3 linked regions of the Oryzias latipes genome follow. The protein of the gene in region 1 interacts with the protein of each later gene in a pairwise test. Links are inferred from orthologs where the notes say so. Each region holds a gene or a part of one and is shown in the gene's direction. Other genes may lie near its edges.

What was found.
Region 2: the proteins of prkci (region 1) and partitioning defective 6 homolog gamma interact in binary tests that used the Homo sapiens proteins (3 or more experiments, as listed by UniProt). The link is inferred for Oryzias latipes from reciprocal best matches to the Homo sapiens genes PRKCI and PARD6G.
Region 3: the proteins of prkci (region 1) and pard6b interact in binary tests that used the Homo sapiens proteins (3 or more experiments, as listed by UniProt). The link is inferred for Oryzias latipes from reciprocal best matches to the Homo sapiens genes PRKCI and PARD6B.

Annotation. Positions count from the first base shown.
Region 1 is NC_019875.2:30,172,669-30,177,549, reverse strand, and holds part of prkci (protein kinase C iota type), read left to right. Parts: intron 1-1,317; coding exon 1,318-1,415; intron 1,416-1,827; coding exon 1,828-1,914; intron 1,915-1,991; coding exon 1,992-2,127; intron 2,128-2,214; coding exon 2,215-2,302; intron 2,303-3,215; coding exon 3,216-3,341; intron 3,342-3,591; coding exon 3,592-3,671; intron 3,672-4,402; coding exon 4,403-4,492; intron 4,493-4,881.
Region 2 is NC_019869.2:23,950,950-23,955,830, forward strand, and holds part of partitioning defective 6 homolog gamma, read left to right. Parts: intron 1-870; coding exon 871-1,093; intron 1,094-4,881. UniProt on the Homo sapiens protein: Adapter protein involved in asymmetrical cell division and cell polarization processes. May play a role in the formation of epithelial tight junctions. The PARD6-PARD3 complex links GTP-bound Rho small GTPases to atypical protein kinase C proteins.
Region 3 is NC_019865.2:4,496,478-4,501,391, reverse strand, and holds the end of pard6b (partitioning defective 6 homolog beta), read left to right. Parts: intron 1-533; coding exon 534-1,447; 3' UTR 1,448-3,639; downstream 3,640-4,914. Other genes in the region: arfgef2 (brefeldin A-inhibited guanine nucleotide-exchange protein 2), read left to right, coding at 4,104-4,266. UniProt on the Homo sapiens protein: Adapter protein involved in asymmetrical cell division and cell polarization processes. Probably involved in formation of epithelial tight junctions.

The DNA of each region.
Region 1 (4,881 bases):
CTTCTTGGGTTTTTTTGTTAGTTTGCACAGATGATCTCTATAAATGTTTTATTTTGTTCTGCAGACCTTAAAAACACCTTTAGAAGAAATTCTTTGTCCCCGTTTGGGGAAAACCAGAACATCTGAGGCTGAGAAGCAACAATCCAGAAAAAAGACAGAACAGGAGAGATGATCAATGATTGATTCATCTGATCCATAAATCAGTTTAATTGTTCTGGTACTTGAATCAGGAAAAAATCACTTTCTGTTGGTTTTTAATGTAATTAAAATTTCATCTTTTTACAGTTTATAATTTAAACTAGTTTTAAAACCTGAAAATTATAAACTGGTGAATCAGAATCACTCTGGTTCTGGATTTTGACAGTGACACTTTTTTTTTATTTCCTCCTTTTATCAAAGGATGTTTAGAATTATCGAAGTGTAAAAATGTTTTCTTAACGTCTTTAAAGTGTTGATGGTCCGTCTGTCTGCTCTCCAGGATGAGAAGTAAAGTTTGTTTTTGGTTAAAATGAATCGTGAAGGCGCGGGCCGGGTCGGGTCCGTCTGCGGGTTGGGTCCGTCTGCGGGTCGGGTTCTCTCTGTAGGTCGGGCCCGTCTGTGGTTCGGGCTGGGTTCTCTCTGTAGGTCGGGTCCGTCTGCGGGTTGGGCTGGGTTCTCTCTGCGGCGTGGGCGGGGTCGGGTCCATCTGCAGGTCGGGTCCGTCTGCGGGCCGGGTCTGTCTGCGGGCCGGGCCGGGTTCTCTCTGTAGGTCGGGTCCGTCTGCGGCGTGGGTTGGGTCCGTCTGCGGGTTGGGTTGGGTCCGTCTGCGGGTTGGGCTGGGTTCTCTCTGCGGCGTGGGCGGGTCCGTCTGTGGGTCGGGTCCATCTGCAGGTCGTGTCCGTCTGCGGGCCGGGTCCGTCTGCGGGTCAGGTCCGTCTGCGGGTCGGGTTCTCTCTGTAGGTCGGGCCCGTCTGCGGGTCGGGCTGGGTTCTCTCTGTGGCGCGGGCCGGGTCAGGTTTGTCTGTCTGCTGCGGCGCGGGTCAGGTCTGTGTTTTTTCCAACCTGACAGCGTTTGTTCTGTGATGAAGGGGCGGCTGACGCACGGCGTGGTCAGAGTTGATCTCTGAACACTTGTGAGCAGCGGTTAGCCCTGATTAGACACACTTGGCTCAATGGATGAGCGGGTTTGGGTCGATGCTGAAGGGTTCCTCTGGCCTGCTCCGTCATCCCTGTTCATCTCAGACATCGGCGGTCTGGATCCTCCCGACTCGGCGCTCTTCTCCCACAGCCGCGGCAATAATGATCTTTGACTGACGTCTGGCTGGTTTCATCCTCCAGGACATCGACTGGGTCCAAACGGAGAAGCACGTCTTCGAGCAGGCGTCCAACCACCCCTTCCTGGTCGGCCTCCACTCCTGTTTCCAGACGGAGAGCAGGTGAGGACGAAGGAAACGCCTCCAATCATTCTGAGCCCTTTGATTGATGGACTTTTACCAAACCAATTGATTTTAATACGTTTTTTGAAGATTAAACTGACTCAATTACATCCTTATTATGAATCCTATTCGCAGTTTTGAAGAGAGATTTAGGAGTTTAGCATCCATCACATCAGATTTATACCTCTCATTATTTCTGACCATAATATTTTCTCTCTGGTAGTCAGGAAGATGTAAACTTTATTATCCAAATTTGTTGCTTTGTTTAAAGTCAGAGAAAAAACGAACAAAGTGTGACGGTCTGACGGATCCGTCCAGAGTGTCCGTGTTTCTGCAGCTCTCCTGTCGGGAACATCCTGGCATTTGCCGCCGTGTCTGTGCAGACCGGTGACGTCCTCCTCTTTGTCCGCAGACTCTTCTTCGTCATCGAGTACGTGAACGGCGGAGATCTCATGTTCCACATGCAGAGGCAGAGGAAGCTTCCGGAGGAGCACGCCCGGTAAGGCCCCCCTCCCCGGGTCGGTGAGAACCTCCTCGCGGTGCGGGCTCCTTACTGACGCTGGCTGCTCCTGTCAGGTTCTACTCGGCTGAGATCAGCCTGGCGCTGAACTACCTGCACGAGCGAGGGATCATCTACAGAGACCTGAAGCTGGACAACGTGCTGCTGGACTCTGAGGGACACATCAAGCTCACCGACTACGGCATGTGCAAGGTGGGGATGGCAGCGTACCGTGAACGATGACCCCCGCCCCGGTGTGCAAAAGTCTGACAGGAAGTCAAAGCTTTTGTGCTTTTGCAGGAGGGCCTGAGGCCCGGCGATACGACCAGCACGTTCTGCGGCACCCCCAACTACATCGCCCCCGAGATACTGCGAGGCGAGGATTACGGTGAGAGAGGCGGAGAGCGGGGGGAGGGCGCCGCCCGGGGGGTTTATTTTCTGGAAAACGGCGATGTGACCCGGACAGCCACGGTCTGCGGGTTCTCCGCCACAGCAACCGGACAAGAGCTTCAGCCGCGGTAAAAATAGACTCCGGCCTGGTAACCACGGCGGTGTCATGGCGACCAGCTCCTCTAAAAATAAAAGCAGTCAGAAATGTTTCACCCGCAGACACGAGCTGCTCTGTAACGTGACCGAAGTGATGCATGACGCTCCTCACAACCTGAGCCTCACGGCTTCCTGTAGAAATGTTCCTGAGCCCCGTCGTGATGTCAAAGGTTCAAATCCCAAAGACGGCAGACGAGCCGAGCCAAAGTCCCGTCACGCCTCATTTCCCAACAGTTTTTTGAGGCCGTTGAACAGAGGAGGATCCTGACGGTTGTTCCTGTTCCACTTTCTCTGAGCTGTTGGGGATTTTTTCCAGAACACTTTTGTCATTTTATGGTTCTGATTTGAAAGCATTTTACGGGAAGATTTCATTCAAGCATGCTCACCTGAGAAGAGTTTATCCAGACGTGTGATTGAAGGAGAAGTGTGTCTACAGGCGCTTTACTGGCACACAAGACTCACTTTTGTGTTGTTTTAACCAGTTTTTTCTATTTACAGTTTTTTTATTGTCTTCACGTTTTTTAACCCCTTTTTTTAATTTTTTTTATTTTAGGTATTTTTTCTTTATTTCTTGTTGGGTTTTTAACTCGTTTTTGTTATTTGGTCAGTTTTTGTTTTTTACATGTTTTTTTTGTGTTTTTAAGCCATTTTTGTGTGTTTATAAACCTGCATTTGTGTTTCCTGCACTCGTTTTTGTCGACATGTCCGTCCGCTCCGAGCCCATCGCTCATCGTTTCTGACGGCGTGTGTTGCAGGCTTCAGCGTGGACTGGTGGGCGCTGGGCGTGCTGATGTTCGAGATGATGGCGGGCCGCTCGCCGTTCGACATTGTCGGCAGCTCTGATAACCCGGACCAGAACACAGAAGACTATCTCTTCCAGGGTAAAACGGCGTTGTGGTTCGGGGGGGTGGGGGGCGGCAGCGTGGAAACACCTTCTTATCGACACCTTTGTCGCAGATTCTCTCAGCGCCAGGCGCACGCCATCTGTTCCAGGAAATGTGTGAATGCGTCCTCCCCTCTTCTTTAAACCTGCTCTCAAACTGTCAGCTGTTTGTTTCTGCAGGAACGGCGAAGCTTGGCGGCGAGATGCTGCTCTCCTCTCACGTCTGAAATTCTCCTTTTTCCCTGCAGTGATACTGAACAAACAGATCAGAATTCCCCGCTCGCTGTCCGTCAAAGCCGCCAGCGTCCTCAAGGGGTTCCTCAACAAGGTAAGGAGGGTTTGGGCCTGAAACCGCCGCCGCCACCTGTCTCCGTCTCTTTCTGTCCTCTGAGGTGATCGTTCCTCTTTCAGACTCCAGAGCGTTTTAACTTCCTGGATTCACGTCCGACCGAAGGTTCAGGCAGCGCCACGGCCCTGAACTAAACAGAAAAACAAAGTGGCGAGCACGTTTGAGCGCAGGAGCGGCTTCACGCTTATTCCTAATTGTATTGTTGTTTACTTTTAAACTTTTAATAAAGAAAATGTTGGTAAAAACATTATCAAAAACGTGAAAGGCCCCCAGAGGTGTCCCCACCCCCCAGTAAAGAGTTTTATGCCAACTTTCAGCTGATTTTAGAACATTTCTCCCAGAGAAATGACAGAAATCTTCCAGTTTGGACAAAGAACATTTGGAGGATTTAGACCGTTTCAACTTTTCTCTTGAAGACAGTTCTGCTTGTTAAGCGTCTCCAGTCACTTTGGTGAAACCAGAGAAACGCGTCTGAAAAGCCTCATTTTATAGGTTTGGGAGAATCTGGTAGCTTTCATTGATTCTAAACACTAATGAGAAATTCTTGCATTTAAATTAAACATCATCTCCCAAAAAAAGAAGAAAAAAAATAGTGGTCTACTGACTCAGACTATCGGGTCTTTGAGCTGTTTGACGCCGTTGTGCTTTTCTGGCTGCTGCCTCTCCGCCTCCATCACCCTCCACCCTCACCCCCTTTCAACTCCCCCCAGGATCCCAAGGAGCGCCTGGGCTGCCATCCTCAGACCGGCTTCGCTGACATCACGGGTCATCCGTTCTTCAGGAACGTGGACTGGGATCTTGTAAGCCACTTTTGTCTTTGTTGGCGTGTTTTGGTTGGTGGCGTTCTGGTGGCGTTCTGGAAGGTGGAGCCCCCCCCCGCTCAGTAGCTGGTGACTGAAAATCCTCCCATGTTTCAGCCGTTTCCTGTTCCTGCTCCTCCAGCGAGTCATTAACGTTTACGACTTCCTGCGCCGTAAATAACGCCGGAGTCTCGCCGGAGCTGGACTGAAGCGTAACTGTGTCACACGCCGACTTCACTGGCGTGCGACAGCAGGGATCGCCGTGACCTCTTTTCCCTGCATGCTCTGGGGGAGGGACCTGGCAGTTGGTCACAGTGTCTGGTCAGATCCGCTTACCCCACCACCACACAGTTTGAGCTGCACTTCGGCCTCTGGCCTGCAGGGGGAGC
Region 2 (4,881 bases), on another chromosome or scaffold:
ACTTTTCTTTTTTTCTGCAAAACAAGCCGTCCCAGAGCTCCTGGGTTTTTTATATATATATACACATACGTGAACATTTTCACACTTTTCTCTTGCTTAAACTCTCAAGGTTCAAACCTTCATAGAAATATAAGTCCAGTAAAATAGAATGAAAACAAAGCTTTGATCGCGATAGAACATTTATGTAGATCAGGCAAACTCGACGCATTCTGTACAGCAGACATGGCAAGCAAAAGAGGTTGACAAAGTTAACAGCCAATCAGGACGCAGAATACTGTATGCTCTTTAAAACAAAAAAAGAAGCATGCACGGAAATTCATTTTGCAAAACGGCCATACTGCAAAAGGTGAGCCACAATATAGGGAGGGAACACTATATATAAACTGAAAGATTTATAGGGTTTTAAAAGAATCCATAGAACTATTTTATGCCTTGAAGTAACTTTAAATGTATTCTTAATCCTGCAGTTGATTTTTAGTCCTTTTTCTTTTATCAGGTACTGGTTGAGTGGAAGGAGAATCATCAACTATATAACTCCTGTGAACATGTAATACTGCTTCCTTGTTTCAAAACGGTCATACTGGTCCTGCTGGTGCTTGTAACGAAACACTTCCTTTTTCACCCTGAGGATGACATTCCCTGGTATTGTGTTGTGGATTTATTAGAAAATGCTTAAGCTTTGCTCAACGTAGTTTTGCAAACTGTAAGATTTGGTCTTTTGATGGAAACTTGCCGGTTCTATAATATTTGAGTTCCACATGCTCAATGAACATGTACCCTCTCACCCCGATTCTCACTCTCGTGCTTGTAATGTATCCTCTTTGATGTCCTCCATCCTTATCCTGCCTTTTTTTCCCTTTCTCTGTTTAGTATGGAGCAGAGTTTCGCCGGTTCTCAGTGGACCGGGTCAAACCTGGAAGGTTCGAGGAGTTCTACAAGCTCCTTTTGCACATTCACCGCATTGCTAATATGGAGATGATGATTGGCTATGCCGATGTCCATGGGGACCTGCTGCCGATAAACAACGACGACAACTTTTGCAAAGCGGTGTCGACTGCTCATCCACTCCTCAGGATATTCATACAGAGACAAGGTACACTTTCTTAACTATCACCTTGTTTAATCCGGTTTTAAGGCAATCGACATTCATTAGGCCTATCTTTACAACTGTCTCAAAATCCTCTGCAATTACCGTGCCCGCAGCTTCTTTGTAGCTGCATCATCTGCAGCAATCTTTGTGATTAAACCACCTTTCCCCACAGAGTATTTCTTCATCTGGTAATTCCTGCCTTGAGGCTTTTTGTTGTCTTCTGGCAAGACTTTATTCGTGTGTCTACTTACATGTTTCCTGCACTCTTATTCGCTGGATCACTCCCAGTCTGAGTTGTTGTCTGTCTACCCAGCTAAACCCTGTGCCTCGGTCAAAGGAAGGGCTTGCAGGCAGATAAACACACACACAAATGTACACACAGACATCGGTGCCTTGGCAGCCCCATAGAAATCAGGTCATTGAGCAAAGCCTGAATCCTGGCATACCAGACATTACTGGGAGACAAAAGATCTGCATGAAAAGGAGACTCCTGACTGAGTGCTCTGCCTTTGGGAGCTTCTGTGCGTCTACATGCGAGCATGTATTTGTTTAAATATGTAGACGGAGTCCGTTCTCTGTCTCTTTTACCGATCCCTGCTATGGAGCGAGTCTTGACTGCTCGCCAACGATCCAGCAAGCACACAAATGAATCCTTCAACATTCAGATTCATTCTTGGTGGTGGGATGAACATGTACACTCCAGGGTTTTGTTTTAATTACCGTCCAGGGGTTTGAGAACAAAAGACATCCTGAGTGAATTGAACAAGTTTGTAGTAGATTTCCATCATGAAATTAGGAAATTATACAGAAGGGGCCCAATTGAGACCCATTTACTCTTTAGACCCCAAATGGTCAAAGCTGAACTTACTTATTAAAATTTGAGTAGTAATTTACTACCACTACAAATAAAATCCTTTTTCTATTATGAATTAGGAGTTTAAAGGTAAACATGCTTACACTGGACCCATAATCTTTGACATCACTTCAAAAATGAAGCCCAACATGGGTTATTGACTGGAGTTTACCCCGAGCACCTCAACAATTTCCCCAAAACTCTAATTGGATGGGAAAAAGTAACGTTTTTAGCAAAAGTAACTGATCCAATGCATTCATGTGCTGGTCCCAAGCCAGGTGAATATAGAGGGTTGTGTAAAAAACGGCATCTGACATAAAACCAAAGCCAAATCAGATATGCAAATTGTGATTTGCTGTGGGGACCTCTATGACCTCGTTTCCACTGAGCAGGACGGTACGGTATTTTGAGCATTTCTGTTCTAAAATGGACCAATTAAGCCAGATCAAACCATACCACTTTTTGGCCCCCGGTAGTTGTAGGTCCATAGAAAAATGGAACGTTGCTACTGTTGAACCAAGAAAGCGCTTTTGTTGCCCGCAATCTTCTCTCAAACAACATTAAATGCTTTGTATATACAAAATGGCAAAAGCCAAGCAGAAAAAATGTGCCGCTGGATGACTGTTGTTGTTGTTAGCTCCACCTGCGCCGGAACGGTCCAGCTTTGAGTGAAAACGCTTTCCTGAATGGCTCGGACCATTCTAAACTGGACCATACCATACTGCTCAGTGGAAACAAGGCTTTGAAGGAGCTACCAAAAGTCAAAGAAGAAAGTCAAGTTTGGACTTTGTTGGGGTCCCTTCATGAGACCACTGAACTATTGAAAGCCCCTCCCCCCATCAATGCAGAAATAATTTCAAATCAATCTAAATTTAGATAAGATTTGTTCTAATTGCTGTTCAGTTTTGTAAGAACATTAGTTTTTTCTTTTTTTTTTTTAAACCATTGAATTACTTGACGGTTCGGGTCAGTATCATTCAAATTAAGATTTATATTATTTAAAGACTTTTGACTTGTATCACTTTATCAATTCTTACTTGACATTGTGTTTTAAATAGCTGACTAATGTGTTCTTTTCAACATCAGAGCTATTTCACTAACGCATGAGCAAATGTTTCCTGCTAATGCGACTTTCTGGAAATGGCTGGTCCGGGACCAGAGTCACAAATTTCGTTTTATCCCTCTGGTGAAATGTCAATAAAGATATCCTCGAATCCCTTGAATTCTATTTAGTGTTTTTCTGGTTTAACCTTTACACTGCTGTGTAGTTTTGAGGAATAGGATGTTGATGTATTGTTAGTCTGCAGATTATTTTGTTAGTTGTTCAACAGAGAGATGAGTGAAGCCCGGAGGACCTCGTGACATGCCCTTCACCCCTGCAGCTCACAACATAAGCAAATGTGTGCGTTTGTGATGAAGACTGTAACAGACGGTGCCAGTGCGGGTCGTCAGTGGGGACTTCTTTGTCCCATCGTCACCCCAGTAGGAGAAGAAAGGCTTTCGTCACAAATGAGAAAACAGTGACTGCACATGTCACTAAGACTTCAAAATAAAACTACTGCTATCAGCTTAGTAGAATGCTTTTCCCCTTGAAATTGAGAGATTGTAAAATTAGTGATTACTAAAAATCAAAAAATGGCTCCCAAAAAGTTAAGCATTTAATGGGGATGAGGGTAAAATTAGTAAATAATTCCCATGCACATCTAAAAAAGGCTGCTTACTTCTATTCCCAGATTATGGTCACTTATAAAAGGAATAAATATTCAGTCCATTTTTTGTGCTCTATTGTAGTTATTCTTTCATTTTAAATCGCTTTTTCACAAAAAGTGGACTATTTGATATGTGGTGCGATGTGTGGAAATGGCTGAGCCGGCACCTCGACTGCAGTGGCAAAGGAAAGCGATATACATGCTGATCGTCACGATGGCTTAAATAAAGCATCAGTTCAGAAAGTTCACCTCTTACCGCTTGTTTTAGTCCAGATGATGAAGCTAAAGTTTCTTTCAAAGAAGCCAGCGCAGTGATAGGTTATGTGACCGGAACTTCTTTTTTAGTTGTGCACTATCACTGTGGTTGATTTAATCCACACCCGCAACGGCGTAAAGCTGTTTTTCTCCGCACCAGAATCATCTGATTTGCATTGATTGCATCAGTACCTCGCTATTGTAAAGAGCTTCATATCATTACAAGGCTGCTTTTCTCCAGTTGAGAATACTTGTAAATGGTTGAAGAGTTATGGTAGTCCTAAGAATCTCAACATTGGAGCTAAAACTCTGGTCTTTGAATTTTAATGAGCTGAGAAGCAAACCCATTCTCTACTGTAACGCCAGAATACCATTTAGCTTCCTGTGTGTGTGTGTGTGTGTACGCATCCTTTTCAGCTTATGCCCCCATTAACAATGGCTACTTCAACATGTGCTCATCTCTTTTATCTACCTGACACTCCCTTCCAGGCTTAGATTTCCTTTGTAGGTAAAATCTCTTAAGCACGTGCCATCCCTTTGTGGAGATACAATGATAAGTTTCTCCCCGGTGGGTACACTTTTTTTTTTTTTTTTGCTTTTGTTGGCTGACGGCCGTCACCCAGAAAATACATGTTTGTACTTCATAGCTTAAATTTAAGAATACATAGTAACCTCTCAGTAAAGATAATTACATTGCACTTGTTTCCACTTAGAATAACGACATGTTTCCTGGTAACAATGGGATTGTTACCTTTGTGTATTTGTTTTGAATTGGATTAAATGGATCTTAGACATGGAAGTTACTTCAATCTAAAGTTAAATTCAGGTGTTTACTTCTGGATAAAATCTGTGTTTTGGTTTTATACTTTCTTGCAGAGTCTGGTGTAATATTTTCATCTCAGGAAACCTGCAAGAATGTGCTTTTTTCATATTCTCCTTGAAACGGATGCAAATAGTGTGCAAAGCCTACAATG
Region 3 (4,914 bases), on another chromosome or scaffold:
TTTTACAGAAATAAAGAAAATACGCAGAAAACAATCAGAATTCCCTGCAGTTATTCCGTATCTGAGAGAGTTTCTTCTTTGAGGAGATTTTTCTCTTTTCTGTTGTATTTTTAATCTGTAAATAATGACTTAACTTTGTTTAATCGCTCAGAAACATCGATTCCCATTTGACTGCAGCTCTTCTTGTGGTTTCATGTATGATTGATGGTCCTCTTCAGGCTTGCGTCAGAGGTTCAGAGTAGAGATAGACGGATAATTCATCTTCAGGTGGACCGGGGAGGTCATTCACAGACGGCGTCGGGTAATTTCTGGATGGCAGCTTGTTGTTTTTGTGTTTTTCTGAAGAAAAAGCACCTTTAGTATGTTCATGATTACGAGCGATGCCTCAGGTTTAAAGACGAGATGATGCAAAAGAAATCTGGCGTGGGTAATACTTTGATCTGAAAGTTTTTAATGGAAAATTAATCATTTGTTTCTTTCCTCTTCCTCCTTTTGTCTTTCTTCTCTTCTGTTCTTCCTCTTGGGTTTTGCAGAAGAAGCTGAAAACACGTTTGCTACAGACCCGCTGACCAGGAAGAAGAACACGGTCCTTTCTGCGGTTCTTCTGAGGCCGGACGCCACCAGGAAGAAGCACCCGGTGATCATCAGCCTCCCGAAAGACTTCCGCCCGGTGTCGTCCATCATCGACGTGGACATCCTTCCGGAGACGCACAGACGCGTGCGCCTGTACAAGCACGGCCAGGAGAAGCCGCTGGGTTTCTACATCCGCGACGGCTCCAGCGTGCGGGTCACTCCGCAGGGTCTGGAGAAGGTCCCGGCCATATTCATCTCCCGCCTGGTTCCTGGCGGGCTGGCGGAGAGCACCGGCCTGCTGGCGGTAAACGATGAGGTCCTGGAGGTGAACGGCATCGAGGTGGCCGGCAAATCTCTGGATCAGGTGACGGACATGATGATCGCGAACAGCCACAACCTCATCATTACAGTGAAGCCCGCCAACCAGAGGAACAATGTCGTTCGGAGCGGAGGGGGCGGGGCTGCATCTGGTAGTTCAGGGCGGTCGTCGGACAGCGGCGCCAGCTGCTACGGCTACTCCACGCACGGCGCCACGGCCTCCATGCCTTCACACATCATCCAGAACTTCTCCGCTGGGGAGCTGGAAAGCGACGAAGACGAAGAAGACCTGGTGATCGAGGCTGGCGGCGAGGCCGAGCCCATCAGACGCACCTCCTCCACATACAGCATGCCCTCTATGCCTCGCTACGAACCACACCTCAACCTCCGCACCGCCTTCACTTCCGCCTCCGCCTTCTCCATCCACACCAACGGGACTCTGCCCGCCAGCAACAGCAGCGGATCGCTGAATCACGCCGACGCCAATTCAGCCACGCCGTCGCCAGACAGGGTCAGGCGGAGCCTGGAGGAGGAGGGCACCGTAATAACGCTGTAGCCTCAGCACTGACTGAACTGTCCTGGGAAGGAAACACTCAGGGGGGGGGGGGTAAGGCATCACAGACCAGAAAATAAAACCCCCCTTTGCCCCCGTCAGGCAGCGACTGTTCCAGAGAAACACTAGCGTCACACCGACACCTCCATGCAGAAACGTGAAGGAAAACACTACACTTCTCTACATGCCAATGATCATGCATGTGTGCCAAAGAGGTGACACCCCCTCCGCACCCCCAGCTCCATAGAAATGTGAAAGAAGAAACACAAAAGTCTAGTTTAGCCCCCAGAAGCAGTTATTTTCTCAGTAGTTTTGTTTTTGTTAGCCAGCTCCTTTTTTCTCTGGTAACCCCCCACCCCACCCCCCACCTGTAGCTTTACAGCATAAATAGTTCTATTCAAATCTACTTAAGTCGGTGACATGTCAGTCAACCAAATCTTCAGTTCTACTGCTTTTAGGAAACGCTCGCTCTGCGACGCTTTTAGACGAATCTTTGTACCTCTCTGTAAAACGGACGGACCCACTAAGATGGCTTTTTTTAATGACAAAGCTTTAGTTCAGCCGGTACTGAGATTGCATTTTTAAAATTCAGAAACTGACAAATGTCTGCAAATGTGACTCCTGCACATTTTCTACAAAACCTGTCGCGATGTTTAGCATTTCTGCCCTCATTTCTTTCTGGACCACGTTTTAATGTGTTTCTTAATTTAATTTTATGCTGCATTTAAAGTCCCACTCCGATCATCTTGTCATCTATGTTCAAAGCGATCCCATTGGTCCTTTAAGTATAATTATGCAGTTTTTAGTCAAAATTGGTTAAGAAATTGTGTCGTTTTGTAGGACATAGTTTCTGCAGAGCGGCAGGAGTTCATTAGAAATTCAGCCCAGAGTTGTGGGTAGGATTTTTGGTGCAGAGCAACACCGCCCCCCTTTCCATCCCCATTGCTAAGCAGAGCAGGGAGCTCGTGGCTTGGAAATGCAATGTTAAGCTTAATTTTCTTTATATATTTGTCCTCCATACTTAGAAAAATGGCACAAGAATGTGTCAAAAACACGATTTGCATGGGACTTGAATGTTTTCAATACCTGTTTGCCTATGGAAAGTTTTATTCTCCAACATGCTTCTGTTAGAGCTCTATTCTGAGCGAATGACTTGCATTAAAACACCCACATTAATATTTATTTTAGTTGGTCATTTGACGCAGTGAGTCCCTGAAAACACACCCTGAGAAGCAAACACACATCCAGCCACACAAAATAATAACATTTCCATGTTTGTTAAAGGTGAGGCGGAGCCGTTTGCTCTCACCTGTGCTTTGCTGTCATTGGCTGTTCATTAAGTTCTTAATCATGAAGCAGATTCATTTATCAGAAGACCTTTTGCACATTGCTGCCAACTGCTTTGCAGGTGTCTTTGTTTTGTTTGTACCTGTTTATTTTTAGCACACCTTTGCTCTGAAGTGCTAAGTTCCATTGAAAGACATTCAGAGTTGTGTAAACACGCTAACGGTAGGAATGTCTGCGTTTGTAGGGAAACAATAATCATCTATAGATGAATCCATATTATCCGTACGACACTCTCTTTAGCCACAAGCTCAGTGCTGAAGCGAACTGTCCTGTTTGGATTTGGGAGCAAAAGCTGGTGGGTCTTCTTTCATTGCCAGCGTTCATCTAAATCTTTTACTAATCACTGTAATTTATTTACTGCATATCTAACTTCATCACGTGGCACTGGAATTGTAACCACAGCAACAGTTTTATTTATTCCACTATTTTTTGTCTGCTTTATTATTATTTTTTTTACAACAAAATCTTTTTCTGTGTATTCATGATTTTTCCCAAGGTACGATAGATTCCTTTAACCATTTACGCTCATTTAACTGGGTGATTTCAAGGCTTTTGTAAGGTATCAGATCTGTTGCTATTTTTTGATACTGTGAATTCTATTGGGGGGGGGGGGGGGGGATTAGCAACCTCAACATAGACAAATGTTTTAGACTGATTTTTGTTTTAATAATGGAGCAATGACTTTTGCTTGCCTGTTGAATCCTATGATATAGATTTGTAATGAATGTCAGTATTTTCATATCAATGCTGCATATGTTTTTATCACTATAAATAAGATGTACACACACAAACCAACAGGTGTAACTGCTGATGGTGGAGCTGGAAAAATAAACTAATATGTAGCAATATTTGCTGTTAAGTGTCGGTTGTATTTATGGGTAGCTGTGATGTTCAAAGTAGTTTGTTTTTTAAAGAAATGTGGGGGGAAACTGCAGATATCGTTTAATTAATTCTCATCATGGAGTTTGGCGCCATCTACTGGCTAAACGAAGTACTGATGGAAACCGGAAGTGCAGTCTACTACTCAAAATGTTAAAAATTAATTATATTTGTTTAATATGTAAATAAATTAACTTGAATTCTAGTCTATGGTTTATTTTAGGCGAGCTGTGAAGCCTAAAGTTTTCATTTCCAAGTGTGTGAGTTTTTGTCGAGACAGCTGAATGTCACGTGACGTGACGTCTAACCAGCATGGCGACGCTGAGCTGAGACAGGAACCCTGCTGGACACTGCGAGCCTGCCGTTCGTTAGCTTTCCTCGTCACCTGCAGCCGCGGGTCCTGGCGGAACATGACGGCCTGAGAGACCGAGCGATGCAGCAACCGCGGCCCCCGCAGCAGCACTCGCAGTCTGAGGCGGCAAACAACAAAACCAAGAGCATGTTTCTGTCCAGGGCGCTGGAGAAAATCCTCGCGGATAAGGAGGTGAAGAGGAGCCAGCACAGCCAGCTGCGGAAAGCCTGTCAGGTGGCGCTCGGTAGGTCGGTGTTTTGGTTTGGGACTCTGCTTTGGGGAAACCCGCGTGCGTGCCGTGTCTTTTCGCGCGTTTCAGTCGTTGTGTTTGTTGGAAACCGTAAGTTAGCTAGCTTTGCGCATGAACTGGCCTTGATCGGTGTGTTTTCTGTCTTTTTTGTCATAAAAACGGCGACGATCTCCATCGCTGCGTTTCCATCACCACCGTGTCTGCACGTAAAGTCGTTTTAATGACATTTAAGTCCGGGGACGTGAGCAGATAAACGGACGTAGATGTTGTTAGCGCGTGACAGCTAGTTAAGCTAGCTAAACAGACCAATCCCAGTGTTGTACGTAGCACTGCCGCCCGGTCAGACAGCCCGGTCCTGCCCTGCACCCACACGCAGGAGGCAGGACGAGGCCGCCTCCCTCCCGGATCCTCTGACGCTCCTGTTGCCCGGATAATGTCACACACATCACAACGTTCTGCTGTTTTAGGTGCCAGTGCTCATTAGAATAGTCTGCACAAAACCAGTGGATATATCATGGCACGTGCGATTCTGGCACGAGGCTGAACAGCTTCTAAAAGAGTCAGTCTGACTTTGTCAGGCTGTGGAAAGGCTTTAACTCTTCCTGAGTGGAGAATTTGAGGTGTGCTGCCTCCAGGCCACCT